4 linked regions of the Drosophila melanogaster genome follow. The protein of the gene in region 2 interacts with the protein of the main gene of each other region in a pairwise test. Each region holds a gene or a part of one and is shown on either strand. Other genes may lie near its edges. The genes, in order: CG32772, RpS9, EDTP and CG14506.

What was found.
Region 1: the proteins of RpS9 (region 2) and CG32772 interact in a two-hybrid assay, tested with the Drosophila melanogaster proteins (one large-scale study listed by BioGRID).
Region 3: the proteins of RpS9 (region 2) and EDTP interact in a two-hybrid assay, tested with the Drosophila melanogaster proteins (one large-scale study listed by BioGRID).
Region 4: the proteins of RpS9 (region 2) and CG14506 interact in a two-hybrid assay, tested with the Drosophila melanogaster proteins (one large-scale study listed by BioGRID).

Annotation. Positions count from the first base shown.
Region 1 is NC_004354.4:4,907,124-4,915,145, reverse strand, and holds the start of CG32772 (uncharacterized protein), read right to left. Parts: upstream 6,045-8,022; 5' UTR 5,827-6,044; exon of another isoform or gene 5,695-5,826; 5' UTR 5,388-5,694; coding exon 5,349-5,387; intron 4,295-5,348; coding exon 3,968-4,294; intron 2,766-3,967; exon of another isoform or gene 2,635-2,765; intron 2,404-2,634; coding exon 2,271-2,403; intron 2,202-2,270; coding exon 2,017-2,201; intron 1,943-2,016; coding exon 1,363-1,942; intron 1,301-1,362; coding exon 1,002-1,300; 3' UTR 1-1,001. Other genes in the region: CG6927 (uncharacterized protein), read right to left, coding at 6,539-7,686, 7,741-8,022.
Region 2 is NT_037436.4:9,509,351-9,513,109, forward strand, and holds RpS9 (ribosomal protein S9), read right to left. Parts: upstream 2,182-3,759; 5' UTR 2,150-2,181; intron 1,956-2,149; exon of another isoform or gene 1,952-1,955; 5' UTR 1,929-1,951; coding exon 1,706-1,928; intron 1,540-1,705; exon of another isoform or gene 1,302-1,539; coding exon 1,115-1,301; coding exon of another isoform or gene 1,111-1,114; exon of another isoform or gene 809-1,110; coding exon 631-808; 3' UTR 540-630; downstream 1-539. Other genes in the region: CG3408 (uncharacterized protein), read right to left, coding at 1-102; CG33703 (uncharacterized protein), read right to left, coding at 2,658-2,819, 2,874-3,041, 3,095-3,310; CG33702 (uncharacterized protein), read right to left, coding at 3,447-3,602, 3,676-3,759. UniProt on the Drosophila melanogaster protein: Component of the small ribosomal subunit. The ribosome is a large ribonucleoprotein complex responsible for the synthesis of proteins in the cell. Part of the small subunit (SSU) processome, first precursor of the small eukaryotic ribosomal subunit.
Region 3 is NT_033778.4:17,441,900-17,446,847, forward strand, and holds the start of EDTP (Egg-derived tyrosine phosphatase), read right to left. Parts: upstream 3,040-4,948; 5' UTR 2,554-3,039; coding exon 2,437-2,553; intron 585-2,436; exon of another isoform or gene 385-584; coding exon of another isoform or gene 1-384. Other genes in the region: CG18467 (uncharacterized protein), read left to right, coding at 1-384; mthl4 (methuselah-like 4), read right to left, coding at 3,407-3,521, 3,591-3,785, 3,852-4,020, 4,078-4,332, 4,395-4,571, 4,628-4,778, 4,838-4,948.
Region 4 is NT_033777.3:29,293,213-29,299,106, forward strand, and holds CG14506 (uncharacterized protein), read right to left. Parts: upstream 3,969-5,894; 5' UTR 3,883-3,968; coding exon 3,843-3,882; intron 3,782-3,842; coding exon 2,607-3,781; 3' UTR 1,949-2,606; intron 1,874-1,948; 3' UTR 531-1,873; downstream 1-530.

The sequences.
Region 1 (8,022 bases), on a different chromosome or scaffold from region 2:
TTTTTTGTAATGGTTTATTAAAAAAAAAATAAAAACACTTAAGCTAATGCCTAACATAAATACATACCGAATTTAATCGAATTGTTTTTCACTTCTTGTTTTCGTTACTTTTCTCTATGCGTAATTACTATCAATTGTAGGTAATTTGTATTTGCTTTCTGTTTTTTTTTTTTTTTTGTTTTTTCAACATTATATTTTCCGTTTCGCTGCGCCTTTGCATTACAATAAAATTTTAATTCGATTTAAGTTTTACAGATTTCTCAACCCGATCTCATGTTTATATAATATAATGTATATATAGATGTGGGTGTTATGTGCATAATTTTATAAGTCAGTTGTGTTTTTGTCTGTCCATCTGGTGCTGCTGCTTTTTCTCCTTATCTCTTTCGATGTCATGCATTGCTGCTAATATTCTTGGAAATTTATTCAGGGGCATTTGGTTCCTCTATTGCTTTGGCTGCTGAATTCAAAACAGGAAGTGGGAGACAGACACCAAACTGAACCAGCAGCTTGCCGCCGACTCTAAATTCGGGATGTTTTGGAAGTCCACTCGCCGATTTCAAGATAATTAAGTGGATTCTGATACCCAAAAAGTTGATGCTGAACTCAATGCGAGAGTAGGACAAGTGCATCTCAGAAAAACTAAAAGCTAGCTTTAATCGATGAACTCGACTAACTCCCCCATTCCATTCTGATTCAGAATTCAAGGACGAAAACGCTTCCTACTGCCTGTTCCATACCTTTTTTTCACCAATCCAGCATACGCTTAACTCCACGGGTAACGCATATAAAGAATGATTTCTACATCAACTTCAGACACCCAAAAGTATTTAGAGATCTGCAGAGACTCCAAAACATCCGCGCCATATATCTAACATATTTTACGTGTGTATGTGCTGAATGTGATGCTACTTTGGCTATGGCTATGCTAATCAGGGACTTTAGCAGCTGATCGTTCGGGGCTTAAGCTAAAAGAGACCTTCTTTCCATTCTTAACTAGCCTACTTAGTGGGTATGAAACGCGCCTTGACCGCCTGTCCCATCGGCAAGTGCAGCAGTTGCTGCTGCTGCGCCGCCTGCTGCTGTTGTTGCGCCGCCTGCTGCTGCTGTTGTTGTGCCGCCTGCTGCTGCGCCTGCTGCTGTGCCGCCTGCTGCTGCATGTGCTGATTGATCTGCTGCTGGATGGACAGGCCGCTGACATTGCTGATATGCTGGCTGTGGAGCGATTCGTTGATCTCGATCTTGATGGCCGTGGCGGCCAGCGTTGTCGCCTTGTTCTTGTTCTTCGGCGGACGCCCACCTGGATATGCAACGAAAGGCGTAGTGAGATTCAAAGTGAATGAGTGAATGGTGAGCACTTACGTTGCCCTGTCGTGTGCTGCAGTGACAACGGCTGGCCGATCATCGCCAGCGGCTGTTGCGACGTCTGCAGCGTGCCCGCCTTCTTGGATCGCTTCGGAGGCGGCAGCTCGTGGTGGGCGTGATTGGTGAGCAGGTGCTTGGAGAGGTGCTGGCGCACCGCAAAGGACTCGGCACAATTGGCCACCGGACAGGAGAGGTAGCGACCCTCGACATGGCGCTGCACGTGCTTCTTCAGCAGCGACTCCTGATTGAAGCTACTCGGGCAGATGTCGCACTTGAACTTGAACTCGTCGTGCATCTTGAGGTGCTGGTCGAGATGGGCCTGCTGCAGGAACTTCTCGTCGCACTTGTCGCACTCGTACGGAAAGGCCAGGCCGTGGGTCTTCATGTGCGTATGCAGCTGCGACTGCAGTTTGAAGTTCTTCTCCGGACAACGCGGACAGTAGTAGCCGGTGACCCCAGCGTGCGCCTGCAGGTGCTGGTTCAGCGAGGTCACCTGCGTGAACTTCTTGTTGCACACGTTGCAGCAGTACTGCTGCACCTTGTGGTGCGACTTCATATGGTTGTTCAGGTTCGTCACCTGCAATGCGAGAACATATCGAGCCGTTATTATCATAAATCCTCTGCAATTTATCAATTTATCTTGGAACTGACCTGGGCGAAGCTGCGACCGCACTCCGGTTCATTGCAAACGAAGGGCCGTTCGCCGGTGTGCAGCCGGCGGTGATTGTTCAAATTGGTGATCTGCGTGAAGGTCTTGCCACAGTCCACGCACTGATATGGCCGATCGTTCGTGTGGATGCGTTCGTGGTTCCGCAAGTTGGCCGCCTGCGTGAAGCCTGAAAATCCAAGAGGTACATCGATTGTTAAGAACCAGATGATGTGTGCGAACGGCATATGGGACTCACCTTTGTGGCAGTAGGTGCACACAAACTTACGCTCCGCCGAGTGATTTCGTATGTGCGTCATGAGCGAGGATTTGCGCGAGAAAGTTTTGTTGCATAGCGGGCAGGAGCCCTCCTCGTTGAATATCAGATCCACCTTAAAGAAACAAATCGAACATTAGTTGCAAAGGGCTTGCCTTCTACCGCGGGTTACCTTCCATCAGAAAGGCATTATATATGATATGCCATTTTACTTTAATACAACCTACTATAAATTTATGCGAAAAACCTTTTTTCTAAGCTGTACATTATATATGCATATAGTTCTAACGAATAAGTAGCCAAGTGCACATCACTGTGTCACTATCGCCCTCCCACTCCCACTCACGCTCAACAAGCTGGCGGCCAAAAGAACGGATTGCAAATTCCCGTGCGAATTCAGTTTGTTTATTGGGGAATCACTTGAGTTACATTTAATATTTTTCACGAGCTTTTTTTTTATTATAATTATTTTATTTATTTTTCTGCGTGCCACGCACACCCACACACCAAAAGCGCCAACTGAAAATGAATTTTTTCCGCTTTACACAGCGCACAAAAACGCCGAGCTGCGTCGACTTCGACGTCGACGTCGACAGAGCAGATATTAATGGAAAAAGAAGCACAAAATATATGTGTATATACATATATCTATATATATATATATATATACATATAAATATAAAGGAAAACAAGAAAATGAGCAGTGCGAAATGTAGCAAGTGGAATAGAAAATACTCTCACGCTCAACACTTTTCTAACCCGTTTGTAATGCATATCTGTAGGGCCTACCGTTTTTAATCTTCTATAAGAACTTTCCAACACTACCACGTCGACTGTGTGATGGAATGAGACTGTACTGAAGTTTTTTTTTTGAAATTTATGTAAATAGCAGCAATAGTAAATAGTATCTAAACATGTCTGCAATAGAGCATTCCCAAGTCGTCGCAAGGCAATTTTACATTTATTTATACATTTTTTTTTTTTGCAATTCTCTGTTGCATGATGGAAAAAGAAAGGCAACAAGAACATGCAAAGAAACGGCGAAATAAGAAGTGAAGAAGAAAAGCAGCGGCTATGAATGTGCAGTGTGTCCGTGTGCATTTATGTATATGTATATGTAAGACTTTTGTGAGCGGGGGAGTAGTAGTGAAATGTAAGAAAATGAAGAGAAAATAGCACAACAATAATAAACAAGTGCAGCAAAAGGAGCAGGAGTCGAACTCCCTGGGAAGTAAAGCACTCTTCTGAAAACGGTTGATGGGGGTCTTCAAACCCCTATAATTCCAAATGCAATGCATCTACTGAGGATTGCAGTGAACTCTGTAATTAGGTTTAAATTGTCAATTTTTTTGAATCATTTATAGTTTGATGGGCAATTGCATTGATTGGATTCCTAAACCATAGAACACTTTTCGTGGACTATTAAACATTAGGATTAAATTTTAAATTTATTCATAGATATTAATATACATATTCAAGACGTTCATATTTTAGTTGAAAATAAGAACGACCTTCAGTTATTTACTTTATTTATCTCCTTTAGTAAGCCCTTTGCAGCACTGTATTCGCTGCCACTTCTTGCCATGCCTCTCGTAACACTACACGTAGTGCAACCCACTCACTATGCCCTTTGCAACACTCTCCCTGCCTTGGTATCCCAATCCCTGAAATGGACTTACGTCTTCGGAGTCGTCCTGCGACTGTAGGTTCTCGGAAGAACTGGATGATTGCATTTGCTGCTGTTGTTGTTGTTGCTGTTGCGAGTTCTGATGCTGCTGCTGCTGCGGATTCTGATGCTGCTGCTGCTGCGCGATGGCGTCGCTGTCGCTGGAGGAGGCCGTCGACGAGGAGGTGGCCGCCGCTGCTGCAGAGGCGGCAACTGCGGCCGAGGCAGAGGCAGCGACGGCTGCAGCGGCCGCCGCCGACTGATGGAAGTTGGAATTATTTGTCAACTGCTCCGAGCAGCGGACGCACGTGGGTATGCTATAGCCGGGCACCTGGAACAACTGTAGGGCGGGGGAATAGAATAGAACAGAACAGGACACGTGAATTAGAGAGTGCTTCCAATTGGAAAAAAAAAACCAATAATGCTCTTTATTTATTGTGGCAACTCAATCTTATTCCACACATACCCTCCCCCTTCCATGCCAACTAGCCCTTTCTCTTTTCCACCAACTAGAAATAAGAGCCAAGAAGATAAACACACGCACACACACAGGCACGCACACATGGAGAGCGAAAAAGAAAGAAAAGAAACTACAATAACAACAGCACCAGCAGCTCGTTGCTTTGTTGTTGTTGTTTTCATTTCATGTTATTTTTTTTCTTCGGTACAACGTTTTGTTATTCTTTCGCTTTTTGTTTTGCTTTGCCGCCGCTCTGCCAGCGGCGGCGGCAGAGGCGTCGCCTACAAAAAAGGGGTTATTTGGTAATTGTTTAAATAATGAACTAAAAACCAAGCAAAGTTAGATCTGTTTTGTTAGTTTTATAACCGCTTAACTTTAAATTTTTGGGCTTAGATGCCCAATATAGTAAACCCTCTGTCACTAAATTAACGCGCAGCCACTGCGTATTTGGCTGCCTTGGCGCAATTTCTGTCATTTTGTTTTAATATGTATTTCTTTTTGTGCGGTTCATGGGCGGCGGGAGGGGGCTGAAAGAGGGGGGCCTGTTCGGGGGAATAGGTTGAAAAGGAGTCAAAGTGAAAAGCGAGTGGCGAGCGTAAGCAAAATGTAAAAATAATATTTTTTCAAGTTGTCGGCTTGAACAACTTTTCGGGCTGAGTTGGCTAAAAATAAAAATTGTTCAGCAATAGTTTGGGGTCGCATGTGTATGTGTATTTCTTATTTCTGTGTGTGTGCGTTTGTATGTGTGTGGGGAAAGGGGGGCAATGCGCGCGCTTTTGAACCCCGCCCCCTGCGCCAACAACCCGCCCGCACAATAACAGTAGCGCGAATTCAATTGTTTAAACTCCACCAAAAGAAAAAAAATCAATAGAAATAACAAAGTGTATATACCTAAATCACATGTGTGTATATCTTTTTTTTTTTGTTAACATACCGTTGCCGTTTGGAAGCACAATCTACAGATGGTGTCCATTATAACAGTAAATAAGGAATAGGATGGGGAGCAGGAGAAGGAGGATGCACTTTGTTGCTGACTTTTGCCCCCTCTGCGGTCGTTGTTGTTGTTGTTGTCGTCCTTCTCCCTCGCAATTTACCGCTATCTTTACCGGTTAACATTCAGCGCCGTTTTTCTTTTTCGTTTATTATTATTTAGTTCGTTTTTTTTCTATCTTTTTCCTTTTCCTTCCTACTATAAGTTTGTGAACACGATCCAAACGATGTGTGGTTGTATTTGAAACTAACTTTTTGGAGTTTGGTTTGCGTTTGGATTTCGGTGATCGCTATATGGCATATTATGATGGCAAAAACAAAAAAAAAACTATATAAATGATATAGAAATTTGATTTATACGATATTTTCGTGGTACACACACACACGCGCGTTGTTTATGTTTGCCTTGCACTTGCACATACAAGCAAAAATGCGGCGCTGTTGTTGTTGCTGCTTCGAAGTTCTGCTTCTTTTTTTTGCTTAATTCCTTTGCCCTTTTTTTGGCGTAGTTACACGTGAAAAAAAAAACAAACCAGCGCGTTCGAATGCGTTTTTTTTTTGTATTTTACAATTCACGACGAAGTTTTTGTCCGTCGTCTTTTTTCCCTTTTTTTTGGGGCCCGATGTTATTGTTGCGCTGTATGCGTGAGCCGTGTGTGTGTATGTGTGGGGAAAAAACGAATACGATAAGAATACGCGGTATAGTTGTGCTGCTCTAACCCACAGGTTGGCTTGGCCGGTGCTCCTTGGCCTGGCCTATCGATATTTCTATCGATTTCCGTAATCGAAAACGAGGCGGGTAATGGAATCGTTGTTGAAAACAAGTTTTTTAATTTATTATTTATTTAATATTTAATTGCAAGTCCGAAAGATTTATTTTATCATAGGTTATTTTATTTAAATAATTGATGGTGTTTTTTAGGCAGCCATAGAATCATGAACTTTATTTTACAACAGAATAAATATAAAATCATTTTACAGAACAAAGTGAAACAAACATAATACAAAACTTTCACAATAATTAAACAAACTATGCTAAACGATGGGTACAAATAATAAACACTTTAAATTGGATACTTTTCACAATATTAAATCTACTGTGTAATCTAATAATAAAATGAAATGGACCTTTTTTTAAATACAGTAGACAAATGTCCAGAAAAACAGATTAAAGACGAGAAAGGAGAGCGGAAAAACGAATCTGGCTCGACTATCAATCCACATGGCTATTTCCTGGGGCGTTAGCGTGGTCCAGCCACTCAGATCGATCTCCTCCTGGTGCCCCGCGCTCTCCGTTCGGTTATTGTTGGTCAAAGTTTGGCTGCTGCTGGCAGCACTGATCGCTCCAGTGGACTGGGCAGAGCCCATGGATCCAAAGGCACTCTCCACAAAGTTAACATCCATCTTCTGGACGACGCGGCTGGTCCTCTGCTGATCCAGAACTTGGCCCTCCTTAATCGTGGTGATGGGCAAATTGACGGTTAGGTAATTGTTGAAACCGGCACCGCCCAGCGAGCCGGTATCCGCTGTCTTATGCAGAGCCGTGCCCGAAAAGGATCTGGATCTGGCGTGACTGCGTCGTCTGAGCAGATTCGGCGATAGAGTTGACTTCAGGATGTGTTTGCTGTTCAGTTTCTTGACGGGCACACTCTTCTTACGACGCCAAATCGTGTTAACAAAGGCGAACTCCACCATGCTGCCAAATATGAAGATGGTGCAGCCCAGGAACCACACCTCTGACACCTTGATGTAGCTAACCTTTGGCAGAGTCTTTCCCTGTGCCGAGGCCAGGGTAATGAATGTCAGCAGGGTGCTGGTGCCCAGCGTGATGCGCGGCGGCGCCTGATCTGCTTGCAGCCAGAACGATACCCAGGATATGGCCACAATCAGCATGGAGGGTAGAAAGTAGTCCATCAGGTAAAAGCCAACCACTCGCGTCAGGTGAACGGTGAAGCTGAGGGAGCTGTAGTTGCCGGCAAAGGCTCCATGACGCAGGTCACTCAAATCGGCATTGATTACCGTCTCGTTTGACCAGGAACGCTGCAGCACAAACTCGGTGAGATGCAGTGCCCCATCGTAGGTTATCGGACGCTTCTGCTCCCAGTGGAGGACCAGTTCCGACGTATTGTACATCCAACTCTCCAGCACCGTCGAGCAGTGCTGCTCATCGAATGGGAACTTCTTAAGGTTGAGCCAGCAATAGAGTGTCGCCTTGATGCGATTCGAAACGATCACTGTGCCATCGGGCGATATCGAGGTGAGGATGTCCTTCTCCGTGAGACCTACCAATTAGTTGCAATCAAGCACGAGTCTACTCCAGACTCTACCGTACTCACCCAAAATACTGGAGTCGCGCTCATTGGCTAGAAATATGTGGGGCATCCAGAGCGAGTTTCTCAGGTGCTCCTCGCCCAAAATCGGCTGCCTGCGCTTGGGACTTACGTTGCGAAAGTTGAGACGCGGATCGAGGTATCGCATTTGGAGGAGCGCATAGATCTTGAACTGTAGATCGTGTGCTTCCAGGTTCTGCATGAAGTAGATGTAGGCGCGCATATAGACGTCCACCGGTAGCCGCTGGCCAGTTTCCGAATAAGTTATGGGTCGTTCCAAACGATCGT
Region 2 (3,759 bases):
CGGTATTTCGCTCAGTTCGGAGAGACTCAAGTCGCAGGTTTCGTCCACCACCCGCTCCTTGACGTTCACCTTCACCTTCGCCTTGTCACCGGGTTTCGGCATTTCGGCGACACTTGCTTATCACACTATTTATACGCGATTTATTCCGGCTGCTGTTCTTCCTCGTCACTTGGAGTTTGTGTTTACCCGAATCTCAAGTGATTTTCAAACGTTCGTTTTGTGAGAATGGCAATTTTGCTGGCGAAGCACACGAAAGCTCGGGAAATAACGAGTACTAAGTTGATAACGGCAGCATTTCGTTAGATTACTTCTCTGGGCACACTGGAGCCTTATCTGGAATTGCAGCTCTGACCGGGTATCGATAAATACTGCTTTTTTTTATTTCAGCAATATTAAAAAAGAAAATAATCTTTACATTAACCATATAACTTTTTTTGTTTTTGTTTAAAACTTCAATGTCTTATTTGCATATATTTCGATATCATCTTCGGCTTAACCCATTCTATAAACAAACATGCGCATTGAAACACATTCAACTTCGTGTATTTTTACATTTATTTGTGTAAAGCAAACGGATTTTTATCAAGTCTGCGCCATGTATTTGTCTTGGCTACAGCTGGCTACCACTGCTTAGTCCTCCTCCTCTTCAGCAGCTCCACCGCCACCGCCCTGGTTCTTCTTCAGGTTCTTCCTCTTGACGCGACCGGGACGGCCGCCGCCGAAGGGCGACTTCAGGGAGAAGTCGATGTGCTTCTGGGAGTCCAGGCGCACGACGAACGACGGGATGTTGACCACCTGCTTGCGGACACTGTGAAAACAAACGGAAGAAGAACACCATATTTGGATTAGTTAAGCTCTGCTTTATGATAACCATCGGAATGGTGGCTGCTATGTATGTTGGGTTCAACAAAAAACGTTCAGTGCAACTTACGCTAGGCGGGCATTTTGCATTTTCGATTGGTGTGAACGGAGTCACATGCGCAATCTACAGACGTTGAGAGTCGGTACAAGCATTGGCGCCTGTTCGACTCCCAAGTGGTCTTACTGAACAGAACAGAGTTTATATCTGAGAGAGCCTGGCGACGATGTTGTCGCCTGTCCAAGCGATATTTACCGAATGTGACGCTGACGGATCAGGACGCGAGCATGATGGATGGACTTGGCAAGTCCCAGCTTGAACACCTGCGTCTGCAGACGACGCTCCAAGAAGTCCTCAATCTTCAGACCCAGCACGTAATCGAGCTTCATGCGGGACTCGTCCAGGACACCGATACGGACCAGACGGCGCAGCAGGGCATTACCTGTGGGTAAAATGGGTACACAATCAATGGAAGTTTCAAAATGCAATCGCTAGTTCTAGCGAAGAATTCTCTTCAGTGTGTATTTGTTAACGTCAACGTATTTTATCAGACAAGAAGTGTCAGAATATATTTTTTAATACAGTTCATCAGGTCAGGGCAACTAATTGGATTATGCAGTCGAACTTCCTTCGCATATACATACTGTCTAGACATTTAAACATGCAATTTTGCAATATACAATGGAATAAATCCGGTCAACAGCTTTACACGTGGGTTGTTACGACTAATTAATTACGATTAATCAAAGCAATTAACAAAGTTTAGAAGTGGCTCTAAAAGTCGGGAACTAGTAGGCTGCTGTTTGAGGAAGTTCGACTGAATATATGTGTGTGCCTGGTACTTACCCTGGAACAGACGCTTCTCGTCCTTCTCGTCGAGGGTCAGCAGCTCACGAGCGGCCTTACGGATCTTAGCCAGGGCGTACTTGACGCGCCACACTTCGCGCTTGTTGCGCAGACCATACTCGCCGATGATCTTCAACTCCTGGTCCAGACGCGCCTTCTCATAGGGGCGACGGGGAGTCACGTAGGTCTTCGAGAAGACCGAGGGTATGCGGCCGTTCACCATGGTTCCGACAATTCAACCGAGCACTGCAAGGCAAAAGTTAGGTTAAATTCGGTTCGGAAATCACTGCGTATCTGCACCATCGTCAGTCTATTTCGCAAAAACTTTGAAATATTCAGCGTACCAACAATCGATTCAGACCTAAGTAGGCGAATTTGTTCTTTATCTTGAACATTATCATGTACTTTTTCAAAGTTTTTGCGGAGCTCATATTTTGTACTTACGGTTTTGCTCACGTTTAGAAAAAGAAAGAGGGGTGAAGGTAGTGTGACCAAAGTGTTTGATAGAAATACACATAATCCTACCACGGAAACTAAACGGTCACTCTATCGCTAACCACTAGAGATTTGACATGTAATTATACATTATGAAATTTATGAGTGGTTAACTAAGCAAAAGTTTTAAATGTAATTAATGTATGGAAAAAAAATAAGAAAAAACTTTTAATTAGTTAAAATACAATCCCATTGCGGAAAATATTTAATTTTTTACGATACTTCTTCTTCTCAACTTCAACTTCTCAAAGTGGCGTCTTTTCTAATGATGTGCCTGAAAGTGCTGTGTCGAATGTATATTGCATGAAATGTAATTTCAATGTAAGTGTTATACAGTACGTATACGTATACCAATGTTGTGTCAAATATTGAATACATTTAAGATGTAGTTCCAATGTAAGAAATACTGTAGACCTTTATTAGATTGAGCTATTAAGTATGTAAACCAATTTATCAGTTATTCCGAATAATTATTAACTCGCGTAGCATAGACTTTCACGTCTGTCCGCCATTTTTTCATCAGGGACGATCGCAAGTGGAACATGTAAACACCGTTTGGAATTGGAATCTCCTTTATTGTGTTTTCATCAACAGAAAAGCCGTTGAAAGTTATATTTTGCTAAAGGTTATACCATCAATGACAAAAATCAATCATCAACCCATTCGATCTCACCTGAAGCGGACATGTAGCATTCAAGTTTGAGATTCTCAACAGTGGAGTCATCAGAAATCCAAAAAATCCACTGGCCAAATACTGCCGACTAAAAAGACAATAGTCCAAAGTCTCATTCAGGAACTGAAAACGACGATTTTTAGCTATTCTAAAAACACCAAGGTTAAGCTGTAAAATAGGTATTCATTTATTTCTTCAGAAATGTTTACTTTTCAACTTACAACGATATCATCAATTGGATCTTTGTAGAGAAACACCTCACTAACATAGAGAGCAGCTCGACCATTTTCCCTGCGAACCACTTTACAAGTCTTAAAGTAGGTGAACGATGGATCCAAGGATCGACACTCCATCTTGCTGACTCTGAACACCCTCCCCTGGCTACAATCCAATATGATGAGTAACGGGAGCACTAAACTTAATAGCTGTTCTTTCATGTTGCCTCATCGATGGATGACTACGCTGTAGTCCGATTTGACGGCTGGTTTGCTTTGATTATTTAATATTGATTTTTCTGATCTCAGATCGACTTAATTTTAAACTGTTTTGGTTATTATTTTAACAATCCCATTATTAATCACGCACTCCAAACAAGTTGACCTGCAATCGCCAGACTCCAAAAGCCCCAACAGACACCACAAGTTTGTATTCACCAACAGGTAAAAAGGATAACAGATCCTTCAGCGTCTTATCGTTGAAAGTCATTTTCTTCACATAAATATCCTTCTCCTGTGGGCATAAAATATGGTGTTATGGTGTTACTTGACGTGAAATAACAATTGAGATACATGTTTGTACTTACTGTATATGGACACGAGTGGTTGGCATTGGTGGCTGCCATTAGGGAATCGTGAAACATATAGAATATCGGATATTGCTCTGGTCT
Region 3 (4,948 bases), on a different chromosome or scaffold from region 2:
CAGAAGATGGAGAAGGCCTTGAAGTTTGCCCAGAGCAAGGCAGCGGGCTTTTCCAAGGTCGATCCAAGTCACTACCACGAAGTGGAGCGGACCATGGGTCTGCTGGCCTTCGATCGGCCGGAATACAGTCCCTACGGGGAGCTGATGTACTACTCATATCGCCAAAAGGTGGCCGGTGAAATGAATGCAGCCATGTTACGCTGCCACGAGGATGAGAGTAAGAGCAAAGAGGAGCCCATGGAGCCAAGAATGATGTTCCTCATCAAGCTAATCCTTTGGGCCCAGGCCAAGCTGGATCGCGAGGGATTCACCGACTACCACAAGCTTGATCTTGGCCACGCGGATTTCGAGGAAGAGTTCCGCCGGAGTTTCCAGGGTTTCTAAGTCCATAAGCATACAATAATTGTCCAACGATTGTCGGTCGGCGTCTACTGCGAAACTTTTTAAATGTACGTTGATTTTTTTTTTTTAGCAAATCTACATATATAAATGTATTTTTTTTTGTGGTGAACCAACATAAATAAGTGTAATTTTTTTTGATGGATGTTGAATATTAAATATTTCCATGTCTTGATGTAAATTGGAGCAAACTCAATCTTATTATTCACTCGATTTTTTTCTGAGTCCTTTTAAGAGGATTGCTTGTTTTTGGTTGCTGCGATAAGACGAGGAGTAAAACTTATGAATTTGGAAAGCTCTTCAATTTCAATTTAAAGATTTCCAAATATATTTCAGGTAGCAATATTATCTTTAGCTGCAATTTAAATGCCATTTTGACCTTATTAGCTCGTATATTTAACCCATTTAATGGTTCTTACATACGTTCTCTGTAAGCTATAAACCTCATCGCCTGCCTACGTCATTTGCTTAGGTATTGTGACTTTGGCTGGGCGAACGCCTAATCTAATCGGTGTGGCTAAACTTAACCCTGAACCCCGAGGAGACTGGGAAATAAACAAGTGAGAGAGAAGCGCACACATAATTCACCCTTTGCACCCCATCAAAAATGCAATGCTTTGTATCAAGGGGCAGTAGCAGCGTTTTGTTTGTGCCTTCGAATAGCTGGCAGATAGATAAGGAATAGGAAAATACTTGTGGAAAATCAAATCGAAGGTTGGCGCCCTGGTTGGTGATAAGACCTAGCCATTGTTTGATAAAAACATACGTTTGCAACAAAGTTTGCGGTAGCGGTTAAACATTCACAAGTAAGTATGCACATATGTATGTATGTATGTACATATTTATGTGCCGATTGCAGCTGAACAAACCGATGTAAGATCGTCGCGGAAACGTGAGTTACGTGCCAAGTTCCCACTTGGCTTTCCTCGCTCTGTTTCCAGGCAGCCTGGCTCGGGGATTTGGCTTAAATATATTCACCAGCACTGGCATGCAAATGAGCAGCGGCTGTTGCCAAGTTGCCATTACAATTGTTATTCTGTGTTATTGCCGGTTAAGCGGGCGATAAGATGGCATTACACACTGGACTATTTAAAAGGCGTGCGTGACATTCGAGGGGGGTAAAATGGATGAACGGGTGCAAGGGGATGAGCTGAAGGCAAAAGACAAAAGTTGAATTCGAGTGCGTGTCGTGGAAAGAAAATGCACATTTATGCGTGGGTCAGGGGCGGGCCTAAAAAGGCCGTTGTTAGGCTTTTAATTATCGCTTAGCACAGCTTAGTGGGATATTGAGTTTCAATGGCAATTCGAGAACAAAAGCCATTAGGAAGTTTCCGGTTTCGGAAAACCTGCTTACTCGGGATTTCCTAGTTGAAATTGATTTAATAATCAAAATGAATGCAACTCGATAAGGAACTCTGAAAGCTGAAACTTAATATTTAATTCTTATCAATTAATTAAAAATTTGCTAAGAAACGGAATAGAAAAATCAATTAAATTAAATAATATTAGGACCATAAAATGTATGTTAATAGAAATTATACAAAAATACCGTTTATTGCTCATCTTATTTAAAAAAGATATTTTAATTAGTGATTAGTGCTCTTATAGGTAACAACCTTGATTGACTACCAAATTGGAAAAGCTATCCCGTGATTAATTCTGCTCTTTGAGAAAACGAACCATTAAGTCCTTCAAACGACATGTTTTACCGCCTATTGATTGCCATGAAAATGCGATTTTCCTCGCAGGAAGCTTAATGGCAGCCATTTTGAGTGGCTCAGTATTTTCGGGGCGCGGCAGAAGGAAGACGGCGAGGGAGAGGAGCGCAAGAAAGGGAAGAGAATAAGAGCAATAGGAGGACAGGACATTATGACGTGTCCTCGGTGTAAGCGCCACGCACACTAGCACAACAGGCATATCATGCATGGGTGTGTGTGTGTCTGCGTGTTTTTGCGGCGGCAGCACGTGCACGTGCGCCTAAATGTATGTCACACACACAGTCACAGACACAAGCACACACTGGTACCGTTAACTTACCGCCGTCCCTTCCTCAAAGGCCGCCGCCTCGAAGGACTTTTTTTCGAAAGTTTCCAATAGATCGTGTAGGTGCTGCTGCGTTACGTTTACCATGTGGTTTGGCGTCAGGCTGCACATTTTTGCGGCGCTGCATTTACCGTTATATTCCTTTATATCTTCTTAATCACACACACACACAGGCACTTAACACACACGACACTGGCAAAAGCACAAGCCCACGCACACACGTTTACGCTCGCAGAAAGACGCCGAATATGAACAATATTTCCCGTGACTTTTCTCTTCTCGCGTATTGTATTTTATCTGCTGCGTATTTGAGTCGCGTTTATCGCTTCTACGCCGTTTACACGTTTCGCTTTCGCGTTTGTTTGCTTTGCTTTGCTTTTTACGCCCTAGAAGACGGCGTATGCGACGTCATCAAATCTTTGCGGCCGCAAACGCAATTTAATTTTTGGCCCCTGCGCTTACGATTAGTGCTACTAGTGTTGCTGTCGTCGTTGCGCTCGTAATTCCGTTTGTATAAAAATGAGCTACGTAATATATTATATTCGCAACGGAGGAAAGCGACAAACGTCAAACAGCCGCGACTAAAAAAACAACATGAAATTGTAGTGGTGGAGAAACATCGATGACCCCCGATGCTTAATCGATTAGAAAAAGTTTTCTGTAATCGTTTGGTACTTGCCAGTGGTGGGCCAGCATTGTTGACTCAAACCCTGGTTTGAAACAACGGTGCCAGAAATATTTCTACATTTTGTCTTACAAAAAAGTTGATGATCCGAAAAATATTTTGCTGTATTGCCCCATACTTTTCCTGTTTTTTGTACCCTTTAATATATTTTGCTTTATATGTTCCAAGACATTATTTATTGTCTTGATAACAAATATTTTTTTTAAACTTTTGCTCCATAGAAAATTAAAATAATGTGATCAATAACAGAGACGTTGCATCTTATTGAATTCCATTTTTTTAGCAGTAAGCGTTTGGATCCGCAATTGATCCTTCACAAGCCGTATGAGTTGAATTATATCGAGCTGCTTTTGATCTCGAATTATGGTGACTTCCTGGGAGGTTTTGACGTCCCCTAAATCAAAAGATTGTTCATACGTATGAGACGGTCAAATTTCAAGGTTATTTGTAATACTTTACTTACCCTGCTATTATAAGTTTTAGAATGCTAGGCTTTAAAATAAAAAGCACGAATATGATGGTACCCTGGGACCAATTAAAGTAGTCAGCCACCATTAAAGCCCTAGCCCAAGCTTGCTGTTTGGTTAACAAAAAGGATAATATCTCAAAGCTCCACGACAAACCCATTAAGATGAAAAGTCGCAGGAATATAGCAAACCTATAAAAGATTACAAAAAGTGCCATTTGACATTATAGTTATTATCTTATAATATAATATAATTACATTTGTTGGTCATTTATCTGTTGGTTTGTTTGTTGCTTGTGGACAAGGCCTTTCACATTTTTCTTTATGTTATATATGTAAATCGCCGAAAGGACAAACATTATTATGTTGAAAGCGATTAGCAACAGCATCGGGCCATAGAAGTAGATCATGACAGTCATATCGCCAGCTGTTGGTTAACAAAACGAGTTACACCGTAATTGTAATTATAGGAATAGTAACTTACTGTAGATCCAACAATTTTTGCCGACGCCCACGCGGGGTCTCAACTTCTCGTTCTTAACCACCTGGTCAGCTGTATAGGTGATTGCAGTCATGATTAGCGGTATACCCCAGGCGTATAAGTTGTATGCACGGAACGGATTTTCTGGCAGCAATCGGTGCAAACAGTTAGAGGCTAGACTAAACTTAATCCGCAAGTGGATTCCAATCACAGAAAGCCAAAAGAACGCGGCCATGACGGAGAAGTAGCCCAGGAACCCTGATCATGATATCGAAATGTGAAATTAGTCGTCCTTTATCTTGTAATCGCCACAAGCAAACCTGCTGTAACGCAGAAGCCGGAGGAGTATTTCCACACGTTGAGGACCAGGAAGAAATAGCCCAAGAACAAAGAGGCCAAGTAGCAGATGAAACACTTTCCGTGCAGGTTGCGAAGCTTCTCGACATAGAGGTACACGCTGATCGTTAGGATTATGCATATCAAGGATATCACTATCGCTGTGAGAAAGGACATTAACTAAAAACCTTAAAGTCAAGCAGGGAATTCAGCTTACCAACGGTCTTCCACGTTCTGGAGTGCTCAGACGAAAGTGGACAGAAGTGGGGTGCAATTCGGATACTATCATCCTTAAATGAAAGATGCTGGACGCAGTACTCCCGCTTGCTCAGTTCCACTTTGTCCCAGTGACGCAGAAGAGAGCCGTTCTACAGAGATTCAAAAAAGGTTACGATCTTCAGAAGTGACAGAAACACAGGAAAGTAACCTCAAACAGAGTGAATTCATTGCCCGGCAGTTCGTGATTCAAAAAGTACATCCGGGGACATCCGGGCTTGGCCAGATCCGACTGCACGATCAGATCCTCCTTGAAGTGTCT
Region 4 (5,894 bases), on a different chromosome or scaffold from region 2:
CTCAATAGCCTTGAGTTTATTTATTTATTTACTTTAAAAACTTATTATTCCGCTTTGATAACATGATAGTTGTTGTAACACAAAGTCATTCCTTTTCGTTTAAAAGGAAAGTGCTCTAAACTGCTGCGAAATGTGTGGAAACAATATAACTCTTGTTACAATTACTAGATTTATTTGTCCCGCTAAAAATAAAAAACCTATGATATTACATGCCTTTAACAAGGCACGTTTTTACTATGACTATGGCCATTCATTGGCCTAGACAAAGGCCATTTAAAAACCCATTTCATACAATTAATAACAATAAAATTACACTAAAATTGCAACAACACCGCACACCCCCAACAAGGCGGAAGACAAAGGACACAAAGGCCATTGTCGCAGGATCTGATCCACTTGCCACCGCCGCCGCTATTCAAAGTAACTCGTAACTTTGGTCGCTTCATTCACGAAACGCACTGTACTATATAGTCGGCCACTGGGACACACAATGGGCGTGGCCCTGCGCACTCGACTTCGAAATCCAGAGACACCGAGTTGCAGGAACACATTGCACGTGCGTGAGTGCAACAATTGTCCTGCAAACTGCAATTGTGTCATGTCCTGATCGCTATTCTATCCTGTTTGTCCTGCACTGTCCAGCTAGAGAAGTGTAATTTTCCATTTAAGATCAACGATGTGAAAATTTCCAAGACGTGATTTTTACGTCGTTTTTTCCTTAAAGCGTAGCCATTGAGCTATTGTTTGCGTAGTTCATTAGTTGCCAGGACTCGAGTTCATTTCGATGGACACGTATATGTCGGGAAAATGCCGCCAAAAACGGTAGGTCGGATTTTCCTGCCAAACTTTGCCGCCTCAGCTGCGGTTGAGTGTTTTTTTTTTCGTGTGCTTCTTGCGAGTTTGGTGCTTCGAACATTAAACTAATTTATCACCAATATATGCCAGGATCCTGGGCGCACGGGCTGGGATGGGCTGGGAAAGGACACCCCTTTCGGTGGGAATCGCTCGTGTGTTGGACTTTTGTGTCTACTTACCATAATGAAAACATTTTCAAACATTTTATGCAAAGTCCTGACATGACCTTTGCCGAACCTCAACGCGCCGCGTCTCCCGTTGCGCTCGATGTCCTGTCCCGAGTGTCCTGAATGGGAACTGCAACACACACATGCATGTATATCTCATCCCATCCCTTACCGGTTCGTAATTTGCGATCTGAACTAGTTTTCGGCGTGGCCCTGTCATTATGTAGATTTTTCAGCCCGCGAGTACACGATCGCCCCACAAAAATTGGAAGGGGAATTCGAATACTTAGTGGAAGACACCGATGTTGTTGCTGTTAGTCGGGATGTTCCATGTTCACCGGGTTTGTTTACGGGGGTCATCAGGACTGGGATTTGTTCTCACAGGAAATATATGTGTGCTAGACCATAAACCTTGAAAGCACAAAGAGAACCAGATAACGATCCAGTCCAAATGTATCCACCGGCAAATGGGAAAAGGCAACACAAAGCCGCAATTTGGCTGGTGAAAATCATCGAGGTCGATCCATTTGCAGGACCATATACCCATTTATATGTGCAGCTCTACTACATATCCGCCTCCGCCGCGATGAGTGACTGCCGGGTTTGACTGTCTAAGCCGCAGGTACGAAGTGATTAAACGCCGAGCTATTGCCACCGCAATTAGGATCGCATCGGGATCGGGATCGGGATGCCCGAGATCCCAATAAAAGCCAAATTGAATCGGGGTCGGCAACGGAATTGAGAGCGGGGGCAACTAGTGCAGGACCTGCAAGGATGCAGCTGATAATGGCAAAGAATTGCGTCGTCACAGGTTCACAGAGATGGCCGGCCAAAAAGGAAGACAAGTAGTGCTGGGGGGGGGAGAAGGTAGAACAATTTTTTTAACATCAAACGAATAAAGGTCGCTCTCGCACACTCGTATTTACTGTGGAAAAGGGAGCTCCTGATTTGTTGCAAGATTTCTTCGTAAATGGCATAAAAAACTGCTCGAGAAACAAGGCGACAAGCCGTGGGATCGCCGTGGCCGTGGCTGTGGATCGTTGTTAAGATTGTTAATGGCACCCGACCTGTTCACGTCCACGCTCACACAATGTTGGACAATTAACACGGCCCAGCAAGAAGAAAGCCAGGTTTTTGGAGGCACATCCTTGGGAATGTCGGGCAGAACAGAGGCCGCGCTACAGAAATCAAGGCCCCCTATTTCATCGCATTTATCGCATTCCCGCGCCCCCTCTAGGAATTGTTCATATTTTGTGTATCATTCGGTCAGGGGCAGTACCGTCATCAGCTGATCCAGGGGATTAATTATGTTGACAGGTTGCTGCGATTCAAGTGCCTTTGAATTGGAATTGGAACTTTTTGTGTAATATGTTCACGTTTCATTCAAGCAGCTCCATTCATATCTTCCAGGAATCTAAGTCACATCCTTCGGCTTCCCTCAATTTAGAAAGTGTCCGACTTATGTAATGTATGCCATTTCCTTATAATGAAAGTGTTCTTTGAAGTTTCTTGGGAAATATTGCTTAACTATTGTTATATTGAATGATATATGATATGATAGATATGATTTGCATTTGGTAATTCCTACTCTTTCTGTGCGTACATCTGATCCGCAAACATCGAAATGCTGGGTCGGTCTTTCATCTCGCTGAGCTGTAGGTCGACGTAGTTCTTGGTCCGCCGATAAGCTGCCACATTAGTGTAGCAGTGATGGACATAGTTCTGACCCAAACTGGCTAGAACGGCGTAGCGGAGATCTGACTTGGAAACTTTTCGAAGAACAGGTTTGGGCTTAGGCACTAGGGGAGTGATCGGCAGAAGGCTCGGCAAGGATGGGAGCACTGGACTAGAGGCAGGAGGTGGTGGAGGTATTTTAAAAATAACTTTTGGAACGGCTTTATCACTAGGAGTTTGTGGCAGGGATGGGAGCACTGGACTAGAGGCAGGAATTGGTGGAGCTATCTTAAGAGTAACTTTTGGAACGGCTTTATCACTAGGAGTTTGTGGCCACTTTGGAGCTGGTGGCTCGACAGACTTGTGGGGCACGGCAGCCAGTTTCTTCCGTATGCTCAGTAGGAGCTTTGCCGAACTGGAAAGACCCTTTTCCAGGGCCCTCACCTCGTCTGAACTGGGTTCGAATTTCAACAAGTTAAAGCTCCAGCGGGAGATTCCAATGTCATTGGTTAATGCATAGGCATAGTTTCGATCAGATTTTACGGCGGTAAATGGACTATAGGACGTGGGTTCTACCAGTTTTTGAAGAAGCAATGATCTGTTAATTGGTGGCTTCGAATTCTTCTCTAAAGATTTGTGACCACTTTGTTTGGCGTCGTTTTTCTCTGCCTGCCTTACAGGAGCTTTGTGTGGCTGCGTTATCGTTGCCTTTGGTTTTTTTATGGTCCCAGAGTTTTGCTGACTTCCCTTATTTGTACTTTTTTCTTTCGCCTTGCGACAGTTCAATCGGTATCCCTTGATCAGATGTGGATTCGATTCGATGGCATGCTCCATGTATGAAGTGCGACTAAACCGCACCATGGCGTAGTTAAAGTTACTCATGCCATTCCTCACGCTGACCCTCTCCAAATCCCCAAATTTGCTGAAATAGGTGAACACATCCCGATGGGTAATGTCCTGGTCTAGGTCGGGAATGAACATCAGGCGATCGTGTTCCGGCTCGGGAGGCCGTCGTTCGGGTGGCTGGACTACCACTGTGCCAGGTTGGTACGTTTTCACCTTCTCTTGTAGGGAATGGAAATTTGCTAGGATTGTGGATAATTCAAAGTCCGTGAGAAGCTTAAAGTCCCCGATAGCCGTTCTCACCTGCCTTTTCCCCATAGACACTAGCTGGTTCCCTGGGCATGGCTTCCCCCAGCTGGGATTCACTAATCCTTGCTCTTTTTGGCGAAGGACACGAATCAAGTCCAGGCAAGTCCAATGGCGTGTTGGTCACTCCCAGGGGTTCTAGGGAAATCAAGGAGCTCCATGAACTATCCATGCTTTTTAAAGCCAAGTTGAAATATACTTGGTTGATAGACAAACCCAAAGCCAACTCTGATCAATGACTATTTATTATAAGAGTGGTGAAGTGGGGAGTTTTCCCTTAAAAATTGCCATTCATAGAAATAAATTCCCTAATTTTTACGCAGAATCTAAAGTCTTTCCCCTGAGGTTTCCCCAAATCCTTAAAAGTCAAACCTACTCAAACCTTTCCCATTGCATAAATGAAAATTGCACTTTCAGTTCATCGAGGCCTGGGAAAATTTTTATCCGTTTCGCACAAGGAAATGATTTGCCAAACTGAGCACAAATATTTTCATCGGAAATTTCATAAATATTTTATGAAACTGTAGGATCAAAGTCAAAGCCCCATTTAAGGTCCCCAGAGTGGCTGCCGTGCCATGAATGAATATTCGTAACGGTCGGCATTCCGGCTGCGATTCATGAAACTGTTGCCACCAAATCGTGGCCAAATGAAAGGAACCAGTAGGCCAAAGGCAAAAACCCAGCTGGAATGCGTTGGCAGTTTGAATGTCGCCTCAGGTGACAAATTGCAAGGCTTGCACAGGTTGTTCAGGTTGCACATAGCCGGTGTAAAAAGGACGACGACTCAATGACGCGGCAGGTTTCGTCGAAAAAATGTGCCATTTCGCACCTCCATAAAAACGTGTCCCGAATGGGTTTCCCTGTCATTTGCCATCAATGGACTGGGCGGCCTTCGGTTTCGGTTGCATAATGTTTGACTGCTGGGCGGAAAGTTGCACATGGCTTCTAATGTGCGATTTGCATTCGCAATCGGTCAAGGGTGCACCGGATGCGATGAATGTTTACCCAACTCGCAGAAATCAGGGCGCGCATCCCTTTCACGAATCCATCTGCCAGTGCAGATCCTGCACATCCTTTGCCACCCAGGTTACGTAAGCCATAAACAAGTGGACCATGGCGGACTAATAGACTTGTTGCCAAGGCCGCAGAGATCGCCTCCTTCTCACGCCTCGACTGCATCCGGGATTCCAGCTAAAAACGCGGCAATATCCCTCAGATACTCGGATACTTTGTGCGGACGTGAACTTCAGCCGTTTAGCCATTCAGGCATTCATTGATTCATTCATGAACATTCGCCCGCAAACAATAAGGACACAACTAGCAAATCTCTCTCGAGCACTTCAACGAACAATGAGGAGCCCAAGCAAATTTCGGTACGAGGACATTCAGTGTTCTCACGTTCATTTCGGCGATTTCCTTCGTCTTTGGGTGTTTTTTCGGCTCTTTTTTAATGTTGGCTTAAACCTCAAGTGACCGAGGGTTTGATGATGATTATGATGAGCTCACAGAGAATTTGCGAAAAAAAAAAAAACTAAACGAGAGAGGAGAAAGGAAAGCGGATACTCAGCCACTCAACCGGGTGTCCCGGCATCCTCATCATCCGCCGATCATCCCGGATATAGTTCGATATTTTTTGCGAGTTTCATCATAACGAAATTCCCTGAAATGCCCCAAGAACACATAATAATCAGAAGATAATGCCGTTGATTATCTCGGGAATGTCTATTCATCGCCTGGCGCTGTGTCCTTCGAGTCCTGCCGCCTCGAATTTCCCTCGCCGTGTGCGGCCTGCCAAAAAGTGAGAATTTATGAGGTTTTCACCAGCGCAGCTCTGGTGGTGAGGGAGTTTCCCTAGAAGTTGCGATTGGAGCCGTGCGGCAACTGTGGGAAAACTGCATTTTCCGGCCTGACTTTGGTGTCTACCAGGAATTTCGGCTTTTATCACGGATGCGAGATGTTGTCGTCTGTCGCTCATTGTTTGTACCAAACACAAATTTAATTTGATTACAAATCAGAGACAGGCACACATTTGCATTCAAGACTTTCCCA